Linked DNA regions of Oryctolagus cuniculus. The protein of the gene in region 1 interacts with the protein of each later gene in a biochemical or structural test. Links are inferred from orthologs where the notes say so. Each region holds a gene or a part of one and is shown in the gene's direction. Other genes may lie near its edges.

Region 1 (3,749 bases):
TCAATTCTGATAACGTGAGCAAAGATTAACCAAACATTAACAAAATATTAAACTTCAATCATTCGTTTTCCCAAAAGTGGATGGTGGAACCATTTCCGCCTAATGTTTCCTGCAAAATATTCTTATCAAGAGCCCTACACAAACACCATTTTTAGGCCACAGGGTGGAGTACTTTTAAAGAAGACAAATGAGGTTTCCAAACAATAAAATAATGGTAGTACTGGTTGTGGACAGTACGGGACGATGATCACAGATGTATACCATTTACTTTTAGAGATGTCAGGTATCTAAATCATTGGCCCCGTTTTTGAGCTTAAGTGGCTCTCGTTGCTAGCAGTACAATCTTCTTTATTCTTTGAAGGGACAAACAATAACAAAAAAACCGTCTCCCACACAGACAATACACCCTGACAGACAAGTGGCACAAATGGAGGAAAAGCTAACTAGGGCGAGAAAACGTTCAGCTGGAAGGCACTTCCCTTCCGTAACTGTTCGCTCATCAAAGCAATAGGAATTGCAGCTGCTTTCAAATTTGCAATTGGCATTTCAACCCTCTACACGGGAGGACGTCCTGCCGGGAGGATGGAGGAGGAGGACCACCCCCACTCGTCCCAAATCCGGAGTTCTAAGGGTTATGAGAAAGACGTCACGAAGGTCTTTCTACAAAGCTGGGTGGCCGGGAAGTCCTTATTTGTCCTATTTTGGTCTCAGCTCTGACAAGGGAAAGTACGCGCAAGGTTGAAGACGACGAAGTCCGCCCCGTCACGTAGACAACTCTCTTTCAGGGGTCCCAGTGAAGTGTGCAGGCCTGACTTTCCCTCCGAATCCGGGCCTCAGGTGTTGCCCTCCGAGCTTCTCTCCGGCTCTCCCCTAGACAAACAGCCCGAGCAGGAGAGCATCCACACACAACGAGGCGTACGCGACCAGGGCCAGCGAGCGACGGAAAATCACAGCCAGTCCGAACTTGCAAGCGGGGAAGCAAAACCCCAAGGCTGCCCCACCAAGAGAAAGGCTTTAGCTCCGAAGCGCCTTCCCTCCTTCTCTGCCTGGCCCAGTAACCCTCCCGCCAGCGTCCGCGCTTACCCAATACTAGCCGGGCAACGTCCGAGGGTAACAGCATGATCGACGCCGCAGAACGAACCACAATAAGAGACGAGACGCAGGTACAGAGAAACACAGCGACAGCTCCTACGCCGCATCTCCCGGTTCCAGTGGCGGCACTGAACCCGCGGCAATTTGTCCCGCCTCTTTCGCTCCACGGCAGCCAATGGCTTCCGCCAGAGAAAGAAAGGCGCCGAAATGAAACCCGCCTCCGTTCTCCTTGGAACTGCCGTCACTTCCGCCCTCAGAGTTGGAGGGGTGGGGCCGGAGAGCGTGAAGGGGCGGGGTGCGAGCGCCGGAGCAGCAGCCAGAGGGCGGGCGACTGACACAGAGTCGCTAGCCATTGGTGGGCAGCGCGCAGGCGCGTTTCCGCAGACGAGCAGAATGTTTTGGGGGTGCGCAGTGTTGGGCGACGGAAAGCGCGTGATACTTGTGCGCATGAGCAGAGTGTGCTCTGTGGCCTGTTAGCGCTTTCTTCCGAGAGGACGCTGCGAGTTCACGCGGCGTTTGAACCGGAAGCGGGGAAAGCTGCGGGGATAACGGAGTGTGGAAGCTGTGGCAACCGGAGGTGGCGAGAGGAGCTGGGGGATCCGTGCTGCAAGCCGCCGCCGGCACTGCCTGGGCCGTCAGAGTCTAGCGGTAGGGGTGCGGAGCCACGCAGTGACTTGTGTATTTACAGAACTGAGTCGTATTGGACCCAGTCTGTCCTTTTCCCCCGACTCCTAATCCCACGCGCTCTTTCAGAGCGGCCCGTGAGCGCTCTCTCCCTCGTTATTCTCGCTGCTGCTGCGGCTACTCACCGCACTCCCTCCGAGCCCCCTGCGGCGTTATCCTTGAACTTCCTTTTAAGTCTTCTGAATTGAGTTCTCCTTTCTCCGCGTCTGCTTCTCCCGTGCCCTTAGGGTTCAGATTCAACTAGGCGATTGGAGTAGTTACCTTTTTTTTTTTTTTTTAACCTCGTGTCATAATTGGTACTTTTAGTTAGCGAGCATTTAGTGAGATTTTAACTATAGCCTCGTGGTTAAGAATGTAGGTTCTGGAATCACAGTACCGAGTTCGAATTCTGCCAGCTGTTTGACATCTTCCTTGGAAAATTACGTGAGGTAATCCTTCCCTGTGGTGAGCCCTGCAGAGCTGTTTTCCCAGGTGCAGATAATTAACTACACTGCAAGGTGGATAATGTTCTAGAAGAGCAGTTACAGGTCCTGTGGAAACTCGGCCTGGAAGAAACACTTTAGTTTGCCGGGAGCCCTTGCAGTATCTAAACTGCCTTAGGGGATAGTAGGAACTTTCCAAACAGAAAGAAACTTACCTGTAAAAGGCACATGGTAGAAGGTTCTTGAAGATCAGGGGTGAGATCTAGTATTGAAAGAAATAGGTTCGGGGAGTTTTCAGTATGTTTAGGTCACAGGAATGAATGAGACCAAGGAGATAAGGATGCTGCTTGAAGTGGGAAGGGAAGAAATATCGAAAGAGACTTATGGAGCAATCATAAAGGAAGGGAATTCATTCTGATAACTGTTAACGTGGTGACTGGCTGTGTTCCAGGTGCTTTGCTAAACATGCACCTGCATGCTTACAACAAGTTTTTGGGGTAGATGCTAGTATTGTTTTTATCATTAAGGTTTGGACACATGAGCTAACTTGCTCTGGCTGGATTAATACACATTGACTACAGAGCCAAGAATTGCATGCCAAGGACAAAGTTATTTCTAGGAGGATGGAATGGGCATCATTGTCAACGTTCTGCAAAGGGATTAAGCTGGTTAATAACAACGAATATTGAATGCGCCGGTGCAGAGCCTGTTATTTAGGAAATTTGTGTTGTTTCTGTGGAATATGAATGAATCGTAGGTAGTCTGGATTAATGTATAAGTGGGGTTTGTCTTTATCTGGTGATACTTTTACTCTGACTGGCTCGTCTCCACCTCCTCCAACCTAACATACTCTTTTCCATCTTAGTGCCCTGGCGTTGTGCAAGATTACTTCCCTCAAATGTCAGTTCTTCAGCTCTTTATATGATTGGCACTGGTTTATTCAGATCTTGACTTTCTTTTTATACCTTCCTTTGAGATGTTTCCTTATAATTTATCTAAAATGGTCCTCTCTACTGGTTTTTTCTATTATTGTTTAAGTATTAGTTTCTTTCTATTATTGTTTAAGTATTGCTTTCTTTGAGGCAAAGATGAAAGCAAGTATTCTAAGATGTCCTAAATTTAATTACACAGCTAGAGAGTGGAGAGGAGAGAGAAGTTAGTCAGCTACCAGTTTTGGCCAATCAAAACAAAAAAAAACTGCTCGATGTCCTGAATGCATGTTGAAATTTTAACTCCAAGGCCATCAAGGCAATCCCAACTGATTAGGAATAGCTAAATACTTAGAGACTGCCTTCCTGCCTTTTAGTTGTACTGCCACTCTTCTCTATATAGGCTCATTATAAACAGTTTATACTTTCTTTTTCCCAAACTTTGAGTATAAAATATTTTGGTTTTTTAGATCCAGCAAAAAAACCTTTCAGACAGCTCTCTGCTGGTGGTTACAGGAGCTTCTAGACCACTCCTTTTTTCTGGCTAGTTTCTGTAATTGCTCCCAAAACCCTTTTATTTCAGAGTATTCTTCGTATTCTTCAGGTTTTTTTTTTTTTTTTT
Region 2 (3,649 bases), on another chromosome or scaffold:
TATAAAACTTGTTACTATGTTCTCACTAATGAAAGCTATGCCATATTGTAAGATGTATATTTGTTCTGGACTTACTTTACATTAATTTGTCCAAGCTTGAAAACAATTAGAATTTAGAACATAGCTATTTAACACATATACCACAGACTGTTTCTTCAAGGCTAGTGTATCTGCTTGACTTTGGGTACATTACTTAATCTCTTTGAGCAGTTATTTTTTGTCTTTAAAATGGGGATAATCCTTATTACCCAGTCTTCAATTTCTTTGATGAACAACAAGAGAAATGGGGATATTAAAGCAGTTGGGAAAATCTAAAGCACTATACAAATAAACCGGTGCTTAGTATTAAGAGGAAATCTGTGTTACATGTTTTGACATTACATTATATTACATTACATTACATTACAATAACTTTTTTGTCATTTGGGAGGAGTTGAAAAGTAGAATGGGAGACTTACAGGTTTTGTTTTTAAACAATGATAAATTGCATGTTTAGTTTATTTCCTATCAGTATTTTTGCCTCTAAAATGTTACTTCATATTGAACATGAGTAGTCCCAAGGAGGTATCTGTGATAGTAATTTTTTTCCATGTTCAACATTATAGGTATCTATGCCAGCAGCTCATGCAACATCATCTGCTCCCACTGTAACATTAGTACAACTGCCCAATGGGCAGACAGTTCAAGTCCATGGAGTTATTCAGGCGGCCCAGCCATCAGTTATTCAGTCTCCACAAGTCCAAACAGTTCAGGTATGTGTATAAAAAGTTCTGTATCCACTTTTGTGTCTATTATTCATAGGCATATCCCTCTCCTTTCATTACTTTTGAAAATAAGGACACATCTAGTTTGGAGTTAATTTTACTTCATATGGTAAACAAATGGGCTGCGTCTGTATAGTCACCTTGTGTAAAGGAATGGATATGTATAAAACAGACATGAAAGAAAATTAAGTCATAGAAGGAGAATAATTGGCAAAAAAAGTACATGAGATGAAGTGGAAGATTTGGGAGACTGTATAAGGCTGATTGCCTCAGGGAAAATTGAAATACAGAAGTAATAACTTGTAATTATTTTCTGAACCTGCAGTTGGAGAAAAATAAACCTTGATCAAAATTTAATAACCTTACCTGAGATTTTTGAACTTGAAGGGATCACATAAGCATTCATAAAATGGGCTGTGTTTAGGGTTTACCATGAGAGCATATAATTTTGAAATAATGTGTTCAGAAAGTTTATCTTAAGGGTCAGGGATTATACTATGAATGTCTTATTCTTTGAGGATATTGTTCCTTTGGGTTGGATTCCAAAGATTAGTAAAGGCACTGTAGACCACTGAAGGTGACTGCACTACTTAACTGTAGGGAACCAAGAAGCGGTGTAGATCTTGCGATTGAGCTTATTGAAAGAAAGACTTGAACATTCATTCAAGTAGGCCATAACCCCAGCCTCCCATTTCATATTTTTTACTTCACAGTCTTCCTGTAAGGACTTAAAAAGACTTTTCTCCGGAACACAGGTGAGTCCTAGGTCGTAGATTTGAAGAGAACTATTATTAGAAAGGAAGGTGAGAAATTATTATTTTTGTTTTTTTCCTCCTCTATAAATAATGGAATTTGAAGGTTTTGTTTAATGGTAGACATTTCTAGGTCTAGACCAAACTTGTTGCCTACCTGACCCTTAGAAATAAAAATTTCTGTATATAATATTTTTCCTGTCTTCCAAACGATAGCCCAACTTTACTTGAATACTCTCAGAGAAAGGAAGTTCTATATCCTGAGTAACCTACCTATAATTAAGGATGAAATTGCCAAAATACTCTTTTCAGTCGTGAAAGAATATAGCTTTATACAACTTGCCTAGTGCTTGCAGTTTTATCCTTGCGTTGAACTGAATGGCAAATCTTAATTCTTTTTCTGTTGACTGATTTCCTCAGTCACATCTCTCAGAAACTATATTTTTAAGAAATTGCCAGGGGTGGTCATCTGGCACAACAGGTAAAGCTGCCCCTTGGGACACTTGCATCCATTTTGGAGTGCCTGGTATCAAGTCCTGGCTGCTCCACTTCCAGTCCAGCATCCTGCTAAAGCACACTGTGAGAGACAGCTTGAGTACTTGAGTCCCTGCCTCCCATGAGAGACCCAGATGGAAATTGCAAGCTTCTGGCTTCAGCCTGTCCCAAGGCTGGCTATTGCAGGCATTTGCTGAACCAGCAAATAGATCTCTCTGTCTCTCCTTCTCTGTCTCCCTCGTTCTTGCTCTCTCTTTACTTTCAATAAACTTTTTTTAAAAAGAAAACTTCAACTTAACAAACTCATATTTTTCTTCAGCCATTTATTACATGGTGTAGTTTTGATTTCTCTTCAGCATCCTGGTTGTTTTCTTCTGGATGAGAGCAGTTTTGTTTTCTGTGCATATGGTAGCCAGAACTGATTAATATTCATAGAGGGGCAGGAGTGCCTACTTTGTCCTGGAAGCATCCTGTTAATATCATCAAAAACATACTAGGTTTTGGCCGGCGCCGCGGCTCACTAGGCTAATCCTCCGCCTAGCGGCGCCGGCACACCGGGTTCTAGTCCCAGTTAGGGCGCCGGATTCTGTCCCGGTTGCCCCTCTTCCAGGCCAGCTCTCTGCTGTGGCCAGGGAGTGCAGTGGAGGATGGTCCAAGTGCTTGGGCCCTGCACCCCATGGGAGACCAGGAAAAAGCTCCTGGCTCCTGGCTCCTGCCATCGGCTCAGCGCGGTGCGCCAGCCGCAGCGCGCTGGCCGCGGTGGCCATTGGAGGGTGAACCAACGGCAAAAGGAAGACCTTTCTCTCTGTCTCTCTCTCACTGTCCACTCTGCCTGTCAAAAAAAAAAAAAAAATACTAGGTTTTGTCAATCATTTTATACTATTGAATCATTGAGCAGCTGTTACCACCTATATTTCATTCTGTTCTTATGCTTTTGGTTTGCTTAAGTGGGAAAAAGAAATAATGTTTTCATGTGAAATCTTGAATCATGTATGAATTTCCATAAGATATTGGGGTTGGAATTTTTTAACAAGTAGGATACAGTGTTGACCAAGTGAAGAACTATGAAGTTGATATTTCTGTGGAATCACAGTGACTGAGCAGTATTTCTTTTTCTCAGTTTTTATTTCATTGAATGCTACCTTATCTAATTCTCCATATTGTGCTATGCTAATTCCCCACCCATATCCTCCTATAGATAATAATGGAAAGAATTAGGCTTACTAGTCAGGCAACCTACACGCCAGACCCAGTCTAAGATTGTAATTTTTGGTTATATTATGTGATATTTAACTGTTGATTGTATTCTTTATTTTAATCTTTATAGGGGCAGCCTAATGTGGACCTAGGGATTATATAATCATTAACTTTCTAGAAATATGGATTCATCTTTACAACAATACATATTTCCATTAAAGTGAACTATTTAATTTAAAGTGTGTGTGCTTGCAAAAGAAAAGTTGGGCTTCTTAAAGCCTGGATTTTACAGATATACTATTTTTTTAAGATTTATTTATTTGAAAGGCAGAATGACAGAGGGAGAGGCAGAGACTAAGAGAGAAGGAGAGATCTTCTATCCACTGGGTCATTCCTGAAATGGCTGCAACCAAGGCAAATGCCCAGAATTCTGTCCTGTTC
Region 3 (3,749 bases), on another chromosome or scaffold:
CGGGTTCTAGTCCCGGTCGGGGTGCCGGATTCTGTCCCAGGTGCCCCTCTTCCATGCCAGCTCTCTGCTGTGGCCCGGGAAGGCAGTGGAGGATGGCCCAAGTGCTTGGGCCCTGCACCCCATGGGAGACCAGGATAAGTACCTGGTTCCTGCCTTCGGATCAGCGCAGTGCGCCGGCCGCAGCGTGCCAGCCGTGGCGGCCATTGGAGGGTGAACCAACGGCAAAAGGAAGACCTTTCTCTCTGTCTCTCTACTCTGCCTGTCAAAAAAAAAAAAAAAAAAAAAAGAAAGAAAGAAAGAAAGAAAAGAAAACAAGTCTGATGACTGCAGAGAGCTGCCCTCAGGCCCCTCTGAGACCTTCGCCATCCAGGTGGGACTCCTGAGAGACACCCAGGTTCTCCCCTCTCACTGACCCTTGCGACTACAACCGTCTCTCTCTAGGTCCAGTTTTCTGTTTCAGTCCGCAGCTCCCTGCAGTCCAAGACCTCACCAACCCTGGCGTGGCATTCTTTCCAGAGCGTCAGAGCGTCAGAGTGGCTCCACACCTTCAGGCCATCCTGCACCGGGACAGGTGACAGTCCTCTGACTTGAATTCACGAATGCTCCTGAATGCTAGCACACAGGGAAGTCCACGGCTTTCTAACTCAAACCCCGCTTCTTCCTCTATCTACTCTGCTATCCCAGCATGCCAGGCGATTCCACCTCCGCAGGGTTTTGGCACAGGCACAGGCACAGGCACAGGCACTCTTATCTGGAGTCCACCTAGCAACTTCCTACAAAACCTTCTCCTCGATTCAAACGGCACCTTCTTTGGGAAGCCTCCCCGATCTCCTGAGTTGGGCAAGTCCTCTTCTGTGACTTGCGGGAACTGAATCTTATTTACCTTCAGAGGGCCCCTGGATGCCACGGTTCAGGGCTTAAGGAATCCAGTCGCTGCCTTGAGCCTATTTAGCCGTAATTATAAGGGGGGGGGGGGCAGCTCTGGTTCGGCTCTGGCTTGCCAGGCTGACCGCGCGCCAAACTCCCGGTCGGGCGTTCTCGCAGGTGCCCAGGCCGAGCTCGCGTAGCTGGGTCGTCGGCACGCTCCGCCGCACGCGCGCGACACCCGGCGCGCCCCGCGTCGCGGCGCTCCGCCCCCAGGCCCCGCCAGCCCGCCACTAGGCCTCGAACCCGGCCTCCGCCAGGTCACGTGCGCCGTCTCGGCCAATGCGCAGTCTGCTCGGGCCCTAAGCCCCTCCCTAGGCCGCGCGCACGTCGTGGGCGGGAGTGGCGCGCGCAATTCCTCTGGCCAATTGCCGTGCAGCCCGCGGGACCCCGGTAGTGAAGGCAGGGCTGCTGCGAACCCCGAGCGCGGCAGTTGGCGCGGCGGAGCCATGGTCGGCCACCTGAGTGAGGGGGCCATTGCGGTGAGGAGAGGCTGGGAGCGGTCGTGGGCGCGCAGCCGTGCGGAGCGGGGACGGAGGAGGGGAGCCAGGGCGGTGGGCGGGACAACGCAGGAGAAGCAGATGGCGGGGGAGCCGCGGGGGTTTACCCCGCGCTGATCGGCGCCCTCTTGTCGCGGGAGCCTTCCAGTGTTCGTTACACACGCTCAACGTTTTTCTGCCAAGAAAACAGACGTGTACTTTGTTCGCATCTCCCTCGCCGGCCGCCCTTCCCCCATCCCCCCAAACTTCTCGAGAGTCGTCTGTTTCCAGTTACTCTGTGTCCTCGCCTCGCGGCACCTGCCGTGGGTCAGCCTGGTCCCCGCGGCGCTGGGGCCTGTTGATCACCTCTGCCTTTGGCCTCTGGCTCAGCTTGCCTAGTCTTGCTTTTGATCCCCTGGCTCCTCCCCCTCCACCCCTGGCAACTTCATTACCATCCAGAAGTCAGTTAACAGGTTTCTCCGTGCCAAGCCCCCTTTACTCGAAAAGACTTCTGTACTCATCCGTCTACCTAGTGTATCAAAGGCATCTTAAATGCCATCTGCCCGGAGCAGATCCTTTATCTTCCCAAGTCTGGGTCTCCGGATGTTACCCAGCCAGAAACAGTTCACACGTCCAGTCCAGCACCAAGTGGAGCGTATTTTACCTTAGCATAGATCCTTTATTTATTTTTGGTTAAGATTTATTGACTTATTTGAAAGGCAGAGTTACAGAGAGACAGAGGCAAAGAGAGAGATCCTGCATCCTCTTGTTCACTCCCCAAGTGGCCGCCGTGGCTGGAACTGGGCCGATTCGAAGCCAGGAGCCAGGACCTTCTTCCAGGTCTCCCGCGTGGGTGCAGGGGCCCAAGCACTTGGGCCACTTTCTATGATTTCCCAGGCCATAACAGAGCTGGATCGGAAGTGGAGCAGCTGGGATTCGAACCTCCACCCCTGTGGGATGCTGGCACTGCAGGCAGAGGCTTAGCCCATTGTGCTACAGCACCAACCCTGTTTGTTTCTTTTTAAATATTTCTTGTATGTGAAAGGCAGAGTTGGAGAAGGAAAAGGAGAGAGAGCTCTTCCATCTGCTCCTTCACTTTCCAACATCCTGGAGCCAGGAGCCTGGAACTCTGTGCGGATTTCCCGTGTGGGTGGCCGGGGCCCAGCACCTGGGCCATCCGTTGCCGCTTTCTCGAGCGCATTAGCAGGGAGCTGGATTGGAAGAGGAGCAGCCAGGGCTTGAATCAATGCTCATCTGGATGTCAGCTAGAGGCTTAACCCCACTGTGCCACAACCCGGGCTCCCCACGTAGATCTTTTAAATCCATCCACTTCTTCCCATCTATACTGGCACCTTCATTTCTTGGCTTGACTACCCTCTTCCCACTATTCTTTTACTCTCTTCTATAGCCTTAAAAAAAAAAACCTTTAAATTCCTGATACATTGCATACTCTTGCCTTACGCGGGGCTCTTTTTTTTTTAAAGATTTATTTATTTGAAAGTCAGAGTTACACAGAGAGACAGAGAGGTCTTCAGTCCGATGGTTCACTCCCCAGATGGCCGCAAAGGTTGGAGCTGCGCCCATCCGAAGCCAGGATCCAGGAGCTTCTTCCAGGTCTCCCACGTGGGTGCAGGGGCTCAAGGACTTTGGCCATCTTCTACTGCTTTCCCAGGCCATAGCAAAGAGCTGGATTGGAAGAGGAGCAGCCGAGACTAGAACCAGCGCCCATATGGGATGCTGGCGCTTCAGGCCCACTGCATCACAGCGCCGGACCCTTACGTGGGGCTTTTGAACATTCTTTTCCTTCTGCCTGGGTTCTTCACTCCTCCCTCATGGGCTAACATAATTTTCAAATCTTAAGCTCAGTAGTTACTTTTGGGGGAAGTCTTCTTTGACTTCACTTACTAGGCTAAATTATTTTATTTTGGGACTGTAATTCCTGTGTGTTCCCTTGTTAGATCTGTGACTTTGGGCAGAACACTGGACTGTTTTCCTTCTGTAATATCAGGGTGATGATGCCTAGTACCTTTTGCATAAAGTAAGAAAGTGTGTTAATACATTTAAGTGTTTAGCTCATTGCCTGTTACATAGTAAATGCTCAGTATATGTTACCTGGGATTAATAGTCACACGTGTAATTTTACATTGATTGCTTATTGATTAATTGCTTATTGATTAATGTCAGTTACGGTCTGTCTCCTCCAGTAGGTTGTAAATTCCATGGGGCCTGCAGTCATGCTGGGTTGTTTTTGGTTCCCACAGTGTCCCCAGTACCTGGAGCAGAGCTGACGAGTTGTAGGTGCCTGGCAAATGTTTGCTAGCTGCGTGAATGATTAAGACAGCGGAA

The links.
Region 2: of the proteins of ATM (region 1) and CREB1, one has a biochemical effect on the other in vitro, tested with the Homo sapiens proteins (2 studies listed by BioGRID). The link is inferred for Oryctolagus cuniculus from reciprocal best matches to the Homo sapiens genes ATM and CREB1.
Region 3: the proteins of ATM (region 1) and RPA1 form a complex in vitro, tested with the Homo sapiens proteins (3 studies listed by BioGRID, with this or other methods). The link is inferred for Oryctolagus cuniculus from reciprocal best matches to the Homo sapiens genes ATM and RPA1.

What each region holds. Positions count from the first base shown.
Region 1 is NC_091432.1:99,975,603-99,979,351, forward strand, and holds the start of ATM (serine-protein kinase ATM), read left to right. Parts: upstream 1-1,472; 5' UTR 1,473-2,204; intron 2,205-3,749. Other genes in the region: protein NPAT, read right to left, coding at 1,084-1,120.
Region 2 is NC_091434.1:32,233,764-32,237,412, reverse strand, and holds part of CREB1 (cyclic AMP-responsive element-binding protein 1), read left to right. Parts: intron 1-605; coding exon 606-752; intron 753-1,477; coding exon 1,478-1,519; intron 1,520-3,649.
Region 3 is NC_091448.1:47,342,945-47,346,693, forward strand, and holds the start of RPA1 (replication protein A 70 kDa DNA-binding subunit), read left to right. Parts: upstream 1-1,221; 5' UTR 1,222-1,373; coding exon 1,374-1,406; intron 1,407-3,749. UniProt on the Homo sapiens protein: As part of the heterotrimeric replication protein A complex (RPA/RP-A), binds and stabilizes single-stranded DNA intermediates that form during DNA replication or upon DNA stress.